2 linked regions of the Astyanax mexicanus genome follow. The protein of the gene in region 2 interacts with the protein of the main gene of each other region in a biochemical or structural test. Links are inferred from orthologs where the notes say so. Each region holds a gene or a part of one and is shown on either strand. Other genes may lie near its edges.

Region 1 (8,025 bases), on a different chromosome or scaffold from region 2:
TTGGTCACGGCTGCTGTTCCCTCCATTCTTTTTTTCCAGGGGGGTCCACGGCACTTCTTCCCAAACAAAAGCAGAGACCACTGAATGAACAGGCGGGCAAGAGGCGAGAGGGGAGGCAGGGGGACTGGCTATTGTCTTCCAGTGAACAAAGATGAGCGTCTTAAAGCACAGGCTCAGCGCCCTGCATGTTATAAAGCTTAACAGACCTACTGAAGAACATTTATATCCATCAGTATTTCTCTTAAGAAGCAGAGCAATGATGTGCGCCATCTGAGCTTCAACACCACAACACACTCAGTCCCACTGCCAGCTGGCAGGCGTTAAGCATTAGGCTTTAGGGTTACCTGGAGTGCTTTAACTTCAAACGAAACAGAGGGAACTCTGGGGAAATCATAATCTCTGGTTTAGATTTGAGGGGTGAGCTTTGTTTCTCTGTGTACAGCACACTCGTAAATCAGCTGAAAAGAAACAGAGTGCTGCTGGCTAACTTTATGACTTAACGCCAAGAAGCATAGGAGGTAAATCCATGTCCAAAGAGTGAAAGTCTGCCTCAGGATTTTGATCCAGCTTACTGGGGAGCTTTATTAGAATTTATCCTTGTGGGAAATGCCATTTCAATATTGACAACTATAATGGACACAAGTCGAGAAACTTTAAGTCCATCACAATTTATGAAAATGGCTTGAACCCTTGAACTTTTCTATCATCAACACTGAACATTCTATGCTGTCCAATGAAACTTCAATTGCTGGGATGTGTATTGCCAACAAAGCTCAGGGACTTTCTTTTTAAATTAGTGACCATCACAGCTTTCACATTTTAAGGCACCAAGAAATGTATACATTTTTTGCATTTATTTTGTTTCTGCTGCTAATACAGAAATTGTTTCTTTAAAATAACACTTTCCTTTAATTTGTCCAGTATTTTAGAAGTCTACAGTCATTTTAACTATCAATTTTTTTTCAGTGACCTCTGTAGCAGACAAATACTGCCTCCAATTTTATCCAGCTTCAAAAGATGCTGAATGAATTTTACTCAGAATTGTATAGGAAATGTCAGACTAATGCTGTGTTCTTGTGCTAGCTAGTCAGAGAAAAAGTCATACTTTGCACTTGTGAAATAAAAACCTACGAGCATGTCACATGCAAGGGTGTTTTTTTTTTTTGAGCAACATGAAGAAAGGAAGACAAGGTTTGTTTTTGCTGGTTTCTTGAAGAAAAAGGTTTTAGTAGAGTAGTCAACTTTGCAATGAACAGATTCATAAGCCCTATCTGGACAGGATTGGTTTTCTTCAGGGGTATGTCTGTGAAAAATATTTCACACTTTTACTTAGTGATAAAACTCTTGCGTCCGGACTGCAATTGAAAAAACTAAGACCATTGAGTTTTTTGGCTTTCTAGGTCACGTGAAATTGCGTTCAGTAGCTCCTCCATGTCCACTCAATGTTGTATTTATGTGGATCTCTGTGAGCCCAATGTGTAATTACAGTGGAGTGGCAGTGGAAAAATAGTTATTTTATTAAAAGCAATGTGACTAAACTCAGATGTGCGGCCGGACTGGAGTAAAATTACCGGAGGACCACGGAGTTCAGCGGAAAACAGTGGGAAATTCTGCGTGTAGTTTTCTCAGAGGACATCTGAGAAAAACACATACATGGTCGTTCCAGACGGAAATAAAATTACAGAGGACACCACATAAAAGAAAAAATTACCCCAGGACCTCCTGAGAAACGAATCCCATTCGGACAGGGCTATAGTCTAGAAAATGTGCAGACAACTGTTAACAGCAGCTGCACTTTTAAAATCCGCTACAGATTCTCTTTTTCTCAGAATTTCTCTGGAATTAAGTGTTCAGGAGGCTGTTTGTATGCAACTTCCAAATCAGTCAGTCATATTTCACATAATTCCAACAGCACATAAATGCAGCATTAGAGCTGCCAGGAGAGGAACAGGAGGATGGCTGAAGGCAGGACAGTAAGGCAGTGAGAGTAAAGGTGAGAGGTGGACCCCTCAGATTTCCAGTCTTCTGGTCACTCTAACCGTACTGGACACATTTTAGAGCACACAAACCAATGGGATGTGTCCATCCCTAGATGGAGGGAAAACTATTTTCACATTTCAATACCATTAGCTTTTTGTCCCCTACATTCTTAGACTAATCAAGACCCAGTGACCACTACAAGGAAAATAATATAAAAAATAAACAAAGATTTTTTTATTTTAACCATACCAGTTGTTGAACCATAATACTTAGTGAAATAAAAAAAATATATAAATGTTAAAAGCTGTTTTTCTGGCTCTTAGAAGGGCACAGCAAAGCTGCTCAAGCAGTTTGATCTAAATCCTGGGCTGGATTAATAGCTACTTTTTGGACCTGGGTTCAATCCGCACCAGCGCCAACCAGCATCAATAATAAGCTAGCTATGAGTTAGCATTGAGTGCTAATAGTCTACCAACGTGGTTTCAGTCGTGTGTAATAAACAGACAGTTTCCAGATACACAAAGTAAAAATCCACCGCGGTTTTTGTTCAAACCGCTATGACGGCTGTACTGCAACCAATCCGCCCATACAGTTGGAACAAAACCTGGGCTTGGATTTTTACTTTCTGGAGTTGGACTACCCATTGCTACACTTGCAGCTGCTTTTAGTCACACAAAGCACAGTTTCACACTAATTAAACAGCACAAACTCGAAAACGACACCTAACACACATACGTATCACCTCATAAACCAATATAACTAATATATTATATCTACAGCCTAAATATTAAACCCTGTAGCCCCGTTAGCCTAGCCACCGCTCGCTAACGCTAGTTAGCTAAGCGTGCCGGACACAAAGGCTGGACGTTACGGCGGAGCGTCCACTCACTGTTGGAGAGGTTGATCAGGGCCGCGTCCTGCGTAGTTTTCACCTCCAGGCGCAGAGGCTGCTGCTCCGAGTGCCGCTGGATATCTCCGTTCGCGTCCCCAATGGAGAGGAGCCGCACGCCGGGGAACACCGACACCGCCATCTTCAAGCTTGGGGGGGAAGAGAGCAGCAGCAGCAGCAGCGAACACGCAACCGCTCTGATCCGATCTCCCGCGGACTCGGCGGGGAAGGAAGGCCGGGCTCACTACCGCCCCCGCTCGGCCAAACCCTGCAAGACAACCGCGCTCAGGGCTGGATACTCGATACAATCGATACAAAGTAGAAACTGATGTTTTTTTTTTATTTATAAAACGTTTCCTCGTTTTTATAAATAATTACATAAATGTATCAACATTTCTCTTTGATTTTTTAAATGTATAAATAAAAAAACATACGTTAAATTGTGGGAATTAATCAGCATCAGAAATCAATGCTGTTTTCATGCTTTAGAGATGGAAAAATGAATGATGAGTGAACATACTTTTGCTATCTGGGAATGATGTACTAATTGTGTTAATTATTTATTAAATTGTGGAAGTTTAATTTATTACATTGTTGAAAGAATTTAATAGGCTATGTAGATTAGTAAAACTGAGGGAATAATTACTAAATTTAAGGCTGATTCAGTAAATGGTGGGAATAGTTTATTAACATGTTTATAAATGATCTGTTTCTTTAGAATTCCGGAATAATCTATTAAATTGTGAGATAAAAAAAAATTGAGACTAATTTACTAAATTGTGGGAACAAATTATTAATTTGAGATAATTATTTATTAAATCAGGTCTCTGTCTTTTAATATTATTTTTGGTAATTTGACATATGTTGCTTCTGTGTTTTTTAACCATTATTGCCATAAGTACCATTAAAATGCCATAGAATTGTAATGGTCCAGAAGCAGAATGCAAATGAATGTCAGATTTTTTTTATTATTAGCCCTTACAAAAAATAATAAAAATACTCTAATACTCTAATACTAAATACTCTAAAAGAACTCTAATAAACAAAGAAACAAACAAACTAAAGAAAACAAAGCAGAAACTTAGCAGGCACAAACATCAAAAGCATGACAGAGAACAAAGTAGATATGGGGTATATATACACAGCAGACATCCCAAGTTGCAAAAGTTGATTTCAGGGAGGTTAACCCCCCCACCCCCCACCAAAAAAAAAACAAAACAAAATAAAATTTGCACACCAAATCATATAGGAACTTTACTTTTATATCAATTAATTTTCCTTTTTTTTTTTTATTAAATTTAGAGTATTTAGAGGTGAAATGAGTTTTATCTTTTTTCTTTTTGGAAGGCCCTGCCTCAAGGAACACCTGGGGTAGTAAGGAGGGTTGAAAAAAAAAACAGGAGACAAGACAACAGCAAAACAGGGCAATGTGCTTAAAGAGCACATGGCTAGAAACACAGACAGGATCAGAAAGGACTAAGAAAGAACAAACGTAATTTGTGACCTTTGTTGGTGTTAAAAAATGACCAAGCTTATTTCCAACTCTGTTAGATTTCAGAATGATTTAGAATAAAACTGATTTCCTGAGTATAGTTGGTCCTTTGTCCAGTCATTAGTGTGTGAGATGAGCTAGTTGAGGGGATTGCAGTTGAGTCTGTTGTGGTTGGTCAGCTGTTTGCACCGCATATTGTTGCTGGGTAACCTGCTTAGTCAGGCTGGTGGTCATGCTGGTCATACTTGAGGTCTGGCTTGTTCAGATTGATCATGATTGTAGACCAGCTTAACCATAAAAAACACCCTATGCTGGTTAACCAGCTTAATTACAGTGGTTCATAATATTATCCAATATTACATATTTGTGACTGGCAAAATGATGTGACCTTCTAGGATTAGCAGTTAGTTTGAAGGTGAAATTAGAGTCAGGTGTTTCAATGGATAGTATGACAATCAGGTGTAAGTGAGAACCTTATTTTATTTAACAGTGATTTATTTAAAATGTAAGTCTGTATTATTTTGTTTCTAAACTGAAAGCAGAAGCATTTCTGAGTGGAGAAGGAAGAAAATATTGTGTTTGATGGTACCAGTGTGCTGAAACCACCGTCCCTGCTAAGCCTAATATATTCATTCTAAAAACTGGGGTGTCAGACCACTTTTTGCGGGAATTCACACTACAGACTCTAAAAGAGGATTCGGCGCAGTTTTATTGAATGCGAGTGGCTGGTGGAACAATGGAGACTTCAGAAGAGAAAACTCAGAGCTCAGTATCTCATATAAAAAACAAAGAAATGAAGAACATAACCTGGAATCGAATTCATCCACTCTGAAAGGAGACACCCACCCAGTTTAAAGTGATTCTTCCACATGCTTGGCGGAATTACCTATTCTCACCAGAGAGGGCCCTTAATCCCAAAACCTATGAACATCAGCTTTAAAATCTGCTCTTCACAACACCTTTATAGAAGTCTATTATAACACGAACAAATGTGATTTCTGAGATCCTTAGAAAAAGAGTAGTTGATGCTCATCAAGCTGAAAAAAGTTAAAAGGTTAAAAAACATCTCTAAAGAGTTTTGACTCTAACAATACACAGTCAGACAGATTGTATAAGGAGTGGTCAACCAATGGAAATGTTGTGAAAGGAACTGAAGTGTGCAGTTAATGTGAGGAAACGCACCAACATCCCAGATTTAAAGCTGTTCTGTACAGAGTAAAAAGCTAAAATTCCTCCAAGGCAGTGGAGCAGGACTGATCAAAAGTTACAGAAAATGTTTGATGATGTTTTAGATCATATTTATGCAGAATATTTATATAGATAAAAATTTAAAGGGTTCACAAACCTTTAAGAACCATTTTAGCTAGACTAGCTTTAGATGGGCAGGCTGTTTTTGGGCAGGGAATAGAGACCATGCCAAAACATTGTTTAAATGCCAAAAAAGTAAAAAAACAAACACATGAACATTATTATTTCATTTTATTGGATGTGCATTCACAGTGCATAGCTGTATATCAAGGCATCAAGGGGCTGACAGTTTACAGTGCATTTAAAAAGTAGAAAAACTGTAAAACCTGATCGTTCAGTATATAAATCCTATTATTTTGGCACACACCATGTAGGGCTGAGCAATATGGCCCTGTAAGGGGTAATAGTACCCAGACCTGCCAACCTTGAAGAAATGTGCTGAAAGTTTGGAGGAAAATTAAGTGTGAATAAAAGTAGTGGATGGCTCCATAATTAGTTTGCTGGAATAGTGTTTATGCTTACCGGCCATGTCGATAAACAGCATGACAGCACTATCATCATTATAAGGGCTCTGACTAAAGTTCGAAGCTAGCAGACGTGGGGTGGTTGGATGAACATGAAGTGCTCTGATTGGCTGAAAGCACTTTGCTTGTGTCAGTGACAACCTGACTGAAACTGGCAAACAATATGCATATTTTATAAAACGTATTGTACAAGTGTACTAGGATGTCAAAATGCGTGCACATTACACAAAATGTGAAAATGTTGGCAGGTCTGTAGTACCTCATAAACAGAGACATCAACACACCACAAAGAAGGAAGAAAATAGAATAATCATCCCAACATACCCAATACTCCCTCGGTAGTGTACTCTGCAAGTCATGGAATTGTGGATTGTGTCTAAATCTAAAAAATATATATTTGCAATAGAACAGTATTTACGTTTATTCATATGATAAAATTTAAAATATATGGCTATCTGTGTATACAAGGTGTAATTATTAGCATAGCGTCATAAACTAACAAAGCAAATTTCAGAAATTAAACATATTTTGGTTGATCTATCAGTTATCAGTCATGTCTATTAGTTTTTTTGCTTTAAATCTTCAAAGTACTTAGATTTTCAACCATGTGGTATACACAAAGTGATTGTTTAGGGTTTTAAAAAAGCAATATCATACCAAAACATGATATATGGTTTTGCAATAATATATTATTGCAATAATAGATTTGTTTAATTAGTTTTAATGGTTCATACTGTGTTGTGTTAAAATCCCACCCACTAGATAGCAGTGTTTTACTGTTATAGATGCATAAAGTAGTTTCCTTTAATTCACATTTTATTTATATAATAAGTGTGTGTTTTGATATACTATGATTTTTTGCAATATATTGCCTTACTTGCAGTAATCACAATATAATTTGATATACTGAATTGTATCCCTAGTATACACTACAACAAAGAGGTCATATAGTGTCTCTTAATTTTCCATCATTATTACAATTTAGTGAATTTGATTATAGTTAAAAAAAAACAAGGCAAGAAAATACATAGACAAGAAAAACTAGAGACAGGAAAGTAAGACAATTTTGTGTTTAGAATTAAAAGCCTGAGAACTTCACGTTTCCTTTTCTTCCAACTGTTATCACCACACTTGCGCTTTTAGGACACATCCTGGATTTACAGTAACTGATGCAAAATAACAAAAATAATCACTTTTCTTAAACAGCCCATATCACAGACAACTTTCCCAACTTGATGGTTTTCAAAAAAAAAGGATGTAAACATTGTCATAGCTTCAAAAGATATCATTCACTCCCCAGTTCATATAGTCCACATATGGACAGTGAACTGCACAAAACAAAATCAACAAACTTGGTTTTAACTTGCTTTTGTGATGTTATAAAACCCAGCACACTTACACTGACAAATATGTTTCAGCCCAGACATCTTGAATAAGGCACAATACAGGAGAGCCAATCAGAACAGAGCTTGTTTACAGACTTCTACAGCACTCTTAATGGCACAGTAATAGAAACAGTATTGCAAATATGAATGAATGGAATTATTACTGATGTAAAAACAAAAAGGAATTTTTAAGTTAAAGGGTAGTGTTGATCCAGCGCTGAGCGTCATTAAGAATGAGTGGAGGGGAATGTTTCTGAGGTCTTCTTCATCTTTACTTCTTTAGAAGAGAGTGATTGAGAGAGGGAGAGAGAGAGAGAGAGAGAGAGAGAGAAAGAGAGAAAGAGAGAGAGAGAGAAAGAGAAAAAGAGAGAGAGATAATTATCTGTATGGGTATGCAATAGCTAACACACACATACACATACTGGTGAACACACAAACACACTCTAGGGGGACAGTGAGCACACAGGTCCAGTGTAGAAGACCTTAGAAGTGGTGGGTTTGCAATAT
Region 2 (8,154 bases):
CTACATTTACCTCAGCAGTGCATTTTTCTTCCTACATTTACCTCAGCAATTCAGGTTTAGTCCTAAATCTACCTCAGCAGTGCAATTTTAGTCCTACATTTAACTCAGCAGTTCAGTTTTGGTTATTCATTTACCTCAGCAATTCAGTTTTAGATCAAAGTTTTGCTCAACTGTGCAGTTTTCGTCCTACATTTACATCAAAAGTGCAGTTTTAGTCATACAATTACCTCAGCAGTTCGGTTTTGGTCCTATATTTATCTCAGCAGTGCAGTTTTAATGCTGCATTTAATTCAGCAGCGCAGTTTTAATCCTGCATTTCCCCTTAGCAGTGCACTTTTAGTTTTACTTTTACCTCAGCAGTTCAGTTTTGGTCTAAAATAAACTATGATTTATATAAATAATATGACTGAAATAAACAAGTCATTGTTGAATACAAAGTACTCAGTCTTCTTACTTATTCAGTTTAACCTAGTATGTGCCTTTTTTTTACACAGTTTTACAAAGTTTTGTTATCTTCAGACGAATATATTCTGTGTAATCCTATCAATAACCTACGAAATTGCGTTGTTTATATTGATTACGTAAAATTGTCGGTTAGTGGTTCTGAATGTCAGTTTAAATTAATTTCGGGGTAAATGCTCATCTCAAACTGTTTCTTTAAGATGAGTAGAGCCTGTCTTTATCTGTTCTGGCATGTTAAGTGACTCATATACTGCTGCCACAGCGTTTGCTGCACAAATATAAATGTAATTATTGGCAAAGCATGAAAAAGATGAGATGCAGGCGATATTTTGGGGTTGGTGCTCAAAGTGGCGCACGAGCAAGAGCGGGAAGAGTGAAGATGGCACAGGAAGCAGTGAAGTGAAGAGAAATGAGAGAGACAAGGAGGAGGAGAGAGTGTGCAGGAGAACGAGAGAGAGAGAGAGAGAGAGAGAGAGAGAAAGAGAGAGAGAGAGACGAGTGCAAGACGAGCTTGTTGGCAGAAGATCAAATTTTTAAGCTGTGCCCTACTGCAGTGGTTTATCTGAAACAATCTTCAGAGAGAAGCATACCTGGAACGGCGCCATGATTTCCACGATTCCTAAGCATTCCTAAGACCACTGCTCACTACTGTGCTCGACTGAACACGGAGATGATGGTGAGCTTAAGAGCTCAGAAGAAGATTCTTCATTTCAAATACACTCAAACCTCATCCCTCAGGCTTTAGTCCGACCCTACAGTTGCTGTAGATGTAGACTCTACTACTTCCGTGTAACCTTTCACTACACGCAAAAGAGAGCATGGTGCTCCACGAATCACGACGGAGCTGCGCAATTCTACAGCCGTGCAGCTCAGTCAATTCCCAGTAGCATGCGTGCATGCGCAAGTCTAGGCTTTTCTGCTAGCGCTAATCAATAGCGGCTCTGTGGAGTGGCTTGATTGCAGCAGGTGGCAGACAGATTGGACGAACTCGTCCGTGTCCCCCGGTGGTTCTCTACCAACTTTCAAGGGATTCGCCGCCGCAGCCCTGAAGGCTGAGCTGTCTTGTGCTCCCTTATGTTTGCCATAATCTCCTGCAACAGTTCCAGACTGGAACAGATTCTCGCCTCGTGGAAGAGCAATGAGATGTAGAGGTTTTTAATCGTTAGACATGTTCCAAATCTCAATGTAAAAGTCTCAGTTTAGTTAATTAAAGGTTTATAATAAATTGAAGTAAAAATTCATCTCCATTAATTGACATTTTCCACTTTTTTTCCCTCCGTTTTCTCCCCAATGTACACAGCCAATTACCTAACCCACTCATTAAGACTCTAAGACGATGCCCCAACACCAGGAGAGAGAAGACTAGCACATGCCTCCTCTGATACATGTGAATTGGAGGAAAGAGCAGTGACTCGGTTCTAATACATCAGCTAACAGATGCCTCATGCTGATCGACATCACCCTTTAGAGTCATGTGGGGAAAGATCGCTATCTACCCACCCGAGAGAGAGAGAGCAAGGCCAATTGTTGTTGTGCTCTCTCAAGGCTCTCACCGGTAGCCGATAGCAAGCTACATGAACAGGTTTCGAACCGGAAATCTACTGATCACAGTGGCAGCGTTTTCAAAAGTTTTTCCTCTTACCTTGTAAAGTTTATATAGTGAAAGCTTTGTGCATTGCAGTGTGTCAAATACAAAATGTTGCCTTGGAAACTGATTTAATTGATTGAAGGACAAATATGCCAATACCATTACCTTAATACCATTCCATAGTGTTTATTCTTGTTGTCATATTCTTGTGTAATATATTCAAACTCAATTTAGACAAAGACAATGTATGTGTCAGTCCTGACGCTGTCTGTCTGCCTGCTCAAGATTGTCCTCTAAAGACTCAACTTGCCAGCATGCACCCACAATGGACTTCCATGACTCCACTGATTACATGATGCTATGGTGTTCCTGCTCTCCTAGCTACTAATTGGTTCCACCTGTCCTCCCTAGTATATATACCCCTCAATTTGCACAGTTCAGTCCTAAGTAATGTAGGATACATTGCTGTTTTTCCTACTTTGATATTGACCCTTTTTTTTTAAATCACTGTTTATAGTCTTTTGCCTTGCCCATTTTGTTGATTACCCGTAGCCAAATGTTTTTGTAATAGCAGGGGTATGAATGATTTTGTAAGCAAATGCTCTTTGTTTGTTATTTTCCAACAAGATCCAAAAAATGGATCCCAAAAAAAGTTTTTTGATAGTAATTATCTCCTTTTGTATTTTTTGGTTCCATTTTTTCTAAATTCAAAAAAAAAAAAAAAAAAGAGAAAATAACTATTAAACATGTTTTTGTATATTATATTGTTGTCTGTTTGTATATTTGTGTTGCCATATACTGTACAGTATCCTTGATGTTACATTAGCGTCTCGATCTGCTGGATTAAATGTGATAATCCATGCCGTGCCCATGGGGGGAGAGATTAAACTGGCTCCTCGTTTTTTCACAAAAGAACAAAGAGAGACCACCCCCACACACTCCACATTCTGTCTACCTCAAAACACACACCTCAAGAGCTCATGCGAACAGGTTCTGTCGAGCGAGCTGCCGGCATGTTCTTGCATGAGCGGATGTTTTTTTTGAGGCTGGTTTGTTTGTCTCCTGTGTTGTTTGCGTCTGAGCTGGGAATGTGGGCTAGAAAGCCCACCCCCGACCCCCCTGAACACGGACATCCGGGGTCCTGCATTAGTCACAGCTGCTGGGAGAATATTGTAGGGTATTGTAGGCTTCAGGTCGGAAAATGACAAGGTGAAAACCTGTGTTTTTGAGCTGGTTCTTGTTTTTGAAGGCAGCCGGGTACAGCTCTGTTCCACATCAAGGAGAAGCAATGCCTTTCTAAAACACTGTAAAACAAAGAAGCGAGACCACCACCAGCAGCAGCAAGTCTGGCAGGCTGCACACTCCCAGTTCACCATGTGGGTCACTGTCACGCGCTGCTTGACTGCTGGCAGAAGCTGAGGTGTCATTGGTGGAAATCAGCCCAATTAACACGTACCGCTCTGGAACGCTAATGCTATTAGCGGCTCAGTCCGTGTTTGGGGTGGCTGGAGATGGGGCTAGGGCTGGAACTCCTGCTGGTGGAGGGTGCTGTAATGTAATCCCCTCATGCTTTTGTTTGTTTGGCAATGCGAACCACTCCAACACCCACCCGCTCCAGCTTGTCTGAGTGCATCATCTCCTGTGCTGCAGCACCTCTAAAAATGGGCTTTTGGAGGGAAAAAAAACATATGTTTAGAGCTGACTTAAAAGAATACTTACTTTTTAAGCACTGCAGCTTTAAGTTACAAGCTATAGTACTATTCACGAGTGGGGAGGGAAATCTATGTTCTCTTTTCTGGTAGTTGTTTTTTTTTGACAAGAATAACATTGGCTGGTAACCTGAGCAAATATTGGCACTGAGAATGGCATTGATACCAGAGCAAATGCAAACATTTTAGAGATATCAAAACTTCAAATGTAAACTTTTAAACCTTCTCGTACATGCATTTTTAAACCGAAAAAACTGATCTGACAATCTAAAAATTAATTTTTAGAAAATCTGCACGTTTAGTAAAACACATTCTTGTTTGTTTAGTGTTGAAACAGCTTAGCATGAAGCAGAAAGAGCATTAGTTCATAGTTACAGTAGTTAATTGTCTGGATAATAAATCAGGTTAAACTGCACCTGAACAGCTTATCAGTTTATCTCAAATAAAAGGAGTATTTTTGATTGTCGAGTCAGATAGAGAACGGATCACATTCTTGTTTGGAACCGGTCTGAAATTATCTCCTCTAGGGGGTCTCGGTATGGTTGTTTTGGTCTGCACCAGAGTTTTATTACTGTTTTCACACCTGCTAAAAAAAAACGAACCGCACCAGAGTGTGTTTTAACTGGAGCAAATAGTGCTGGTGTGAAAACACCCTTAGTTAGCTGTGCTCTTACGATGATGGATTCCTTTGTTCTCGTAAATTGTGCAAATCTCAAATATAGAAGTAGTGGGGAATGTTGGAAAAGGTCTAGTGAGTTTATTTACAATGCATCTCAGAATGCGATGATTGACATTTCTCAGACTCCATTGCATTGAAAGAATAAATATCAACTTCAGCTGGTTAAAAATCAACTTTACACAATTCTACTCTGACCACAGATTAACCCAGGCAGGGGGTGGGGTGCAAAAATGCAGAAATGCACAAATTCTTTCTTCAAAGGATTCTTTTAAATTATAGGACATCATCTGGAATTCCTTCAGTCTTTATTGCCCGCATTCTTGGAGGCACGCAAAATACCACCTTGTGCAGCTTCTCCACCTTCCTCAGGCTTTTTAGCTTTTGGCAAATCAGGGGGAAAGCAGGGGGAAGGGTGGGCAGTGAAGTGGCAGCATAAACCCACAGCTCAGGGATTCCTCGCCTGGCTGCCGGGTCCTTTGAACTTTGTGTCTCTCGCTCTCTTTTGCTGTGAAGGAATAAGCAGAAGAACAAGCCGGCCTCTCCTCTGTATGTGTACGAGTCCCCACCTCCCTCCCTCTCTCTCTCTCTCTCGCTCCTCATTCCCCACACTCCACAATGCGCACACACCCTCTTTGGCTCTCGCACGCACTGACACACACACAATGGACTACTCAGCAGGCGGCGAGTGCTGAAGGCTGGGCAGAGGGAGCCGGGCTGGACGGGGTCTATTCTCTCGGAAGAGTCGGCCAGGTCCGCAGGAGCTGATATTTGACCCATTCCCTATCGTTTTATACCCCCTCCTCCCTCCTCGCCTCCTCTGCTGCTCCCTGCCTTCTTCTTTCTTCAGTCTTTAGGAGATCACTCGCTTTCTCTTTTCAGCAGCTCTTTGTGCAGCGGAATACACTCTCACATCGCTGCTGCCGCTACTACTGCCGCCACCGCTGCCAAGACTACCGCTGCTGCTGTCGCTGCTACTACTACCGCTACTGCTGCTCCAGCTGCCGCTGATTCTTCTGCCTCTTCTGCCTCTGCCTCTGACTGCTGCTGCCACTGGAGCAGGAGGAGGAGTGCGGCAGTTTTGCGTGTAGATCGCTGGAATGGAACGCTTCCTTGGCTTTGTAAAGCAAATTCGCAGGTCCCGCAGACGCAAGGGCAAAAAGTACCGGCCCGAAGAGGATTACCACGAGGGCTATGAGGATGTGTATTACTACGCTTCCGAGCACCTGCACAGTAAGTGGTCCTGCTTGACTGAATGCCATCCCGGGGACTGTGCAGGGGTCCGGCAAGGGATCCTGCCCCCACAGATCTGTTTTATTGTTTTACCATCAGTGTGAATCATTAGCCTTGAGCTGGCAATAAGAGAGAGGCAGGCAGGCAGGCGGGCAGGTGGGATGGTTAGTCGGGGTGGGTGGTTGGAAAGGAGGGACTGACTTTGTTTCGGGGGGCAAATCGAGAGGCTTATGCGCAGCTTGTGAAGCCCTGTGGAGTGTGGCCAGGTCGCAGGGCGATAATGGATGTGATAATGTCTCAATGTCTCAAGTTGCCTGTTGTCACAAACACGTGTATGTGTGTGTGTGTATACACACGTTTGCGTCGGTGTGCCTGTGGCTGCAGTAAAGAGCGTGTCCTGCCAGTCTTGATAAATGGCATGTATCGGATAACGCTTATTTCTATTGATTGAGCGTGAATGGTTTGTCAGAGAAGGTCTCGGAGCGAACTGTGTGTGTGCGCACATGTGGTCAGTCCCGGCCATGTGCAGGCCACCTTAATGCCTTAGTGTTGCACCACCTAAAGGTTTGGTTGGTTAGTTGGTTGGTTAGTTGGTTGGTTTGGATGCTTGTTTGCTTTCTGCCCTTGTCTTAAATGAGGTAGGAAGATAGATAGAAAGGTAGGTAGGTGTGTTTGTGTTGTCACCCCTCCCCCGCCGTTGCTGACATGCTGCTTCGCCCTAAAGGCACGTTGTTCTCAGGTGACGTGTGTGGTGTGTGTGTCTGTGTGTGTGTGAGAGTGTGTAGCGGCTTGTTTAAAAATACAGCAGCCGTCTGCCCGTCTTCCGTCACCTACTTTCATCTATTATGAAGCAGCACTCTCTTCGTGCCCCCGGAAGAGAAGCGTTTGTCTCCTGCCTCCTGCAGTCGTTCATTAGCTGTTCTTAGCTTAGTGCTTCCATTACTTCCATTACGTACAGCTGTGGAACTCAGCTGATCGCAGCTCTGCGTTGAGAAGCAGGTTTTATCTATTAAACTACTAAGCTGTGTACTTCTTCCCTCAAGCAGTTCCCCCTAACTAGTGACCTCAAGGTTGTAAATGGAATGACAGGCAAGGGAGCAAAGGGAGGCCTGTCATCTACATTCCTTCCCTCCTTACTTTGCTGAGTAAGAGAGATGGAATGACCTGGAGTCAGACCCAGAACAGATGTACGGAACCTTGCTCTGGTGCCGTAGCCCTCCTGGCTTGCTGGGTTAGCATTCAGAACCAGCACTGAGTTGTTTTCAGGGTTTTCTCCTTAACAGTCCACAGAGCACAGAGTAGAGCGAGTGAAGGCCTTTGACATTCAGGAAGGTCTGGAATGTCTGTATTTTCATACCTTAGGATTAAGCAGTTGCTTGAATTTTGATGTTGTGGTTTGTGGCCTCACGTCGGGACCCCAAACCCGTAGAGCCACCATGTTCTTGTTGTTCCCTGCGACTCTTTGTTACTCACCCAGCCTGAGAATTGAATGGATGATGACTGGCTTAATTGATTGCACAACTCGAGTCATGTTTTATTCTACAGCGCATGCTGTTTAATGTGCACAGAACCATTAATTAAATAGGAGCTTTTTTCATTAGCGGATGGTTACGACTGTGATTTTTTGCCTGATGGCGGAAACCGGCTCTCTCGGTAGTCTCGCTCTTGCATGCATGCGTTTAGTCAGATATTCGCTTTGATGTGCAATCGCAAAAGCTCAGCTCTGCAACATAAAATTAGACACCTAATTGGCCCAGCTGGAGTCCAAGTGAGTCAGACACAGGAAGTGGGGGAATAAATGGCATTGGGAAGAGTTTTTAGATATGGGGACCTATCCGACATGGAGATGTTTAAACCTGAGTCTCTCAAGTTTGTTGGTATGCGAGTCTAGAAGGCCACAATTAGGCCTGAGATGACAGTAGATCTTGCTAAAAAGCCAGACTTACAGCTGTGGCTCGACGCATCCCGGAGCGCACAGTGGCAACCCACGCTAATTAACTTCTGTGACCGAAAAAAACTGTAAATGTCACACTTGGTCACTGAGCCTACCCTCATCTGTGCTTCAGAGCCCCTCCTCTCTGCATCATTTATATCAACCTCATGCATAATTCATGCTGAGGTTGTAGTCTGCCCATTCCTGTACATTCATCAAACTCCTACTTGTGTGAGACCCTGCCATTTGCCTTCTAATGGGATTCATCCGTCTGCAGTCCCCATCCTCCCCTGGCTTGGGGGACGTGTACACTTTTGGGTTTTGAAAAATGATTCATTTCACCACGACAATAAGGAAGACTCGGGCAGGGCATGCTCACTCATAAATCTGGGAAATGAGGAACAGCGGAGCGCCAAAAAGGAGGATAAAGAGAAGCTTTGTGGCTTTCAATTCCTGCCATTTGTTTTCCTGCACCTTCTGCACGCAAGCAAGCAAGCAACGAGTGTGATCTTCTTCTGCGGCTTTCCATTTGTAGACGTCTCCATTTCTAATA

Evidence for each region.
Region 1: the proteins of grip1 (region 2) and carm1 form a complex in vitro, tested with the Homo sapiens proteins (2 studies listed by BioGRID). The link is inferred for Astyanax mexicanus from reciprocal best matches to the Homo sapiens genes GRIP1 and CARM1.

The regions. Positions count from the first base shown.
Region 1 is NC_064426.1:9,725,378-9,733,402, reverse strand, and holds the start of carm1 (histone-arginine methyltransferase CARM1), read right to left. Parts: upstream 3,094-8,025; 5' UTR 3,012-3,093; coding exon 2,870-3,011; intron 1-2,869. UniProt on the Homo sapiens protein: Methylates (mono- and asymmetric dimethylation) the guanidino nitrogens of arginyl residues in several proteins involved in DNA packaging, transcription regulation, pre-mRNA splicing, and mRNA stability.
Region 2 is NC_064409.1:11,298,426-11,306,579, reverse strand, and holds the start of grip1 (glutamate receptor-interacting protein 1), read left to right. Parts: upstream 1-5,064; 5' UTR 5,065-5,535; coding exon 5,536-5,668; intron 5,669-8,154. UniProt on the Homo sapiens protein: May play a role as a localized scaffold for the assembly of a multiprotein signaling complex and as mediator of the trafficking of its binding partners at specific subcellular location in neurons.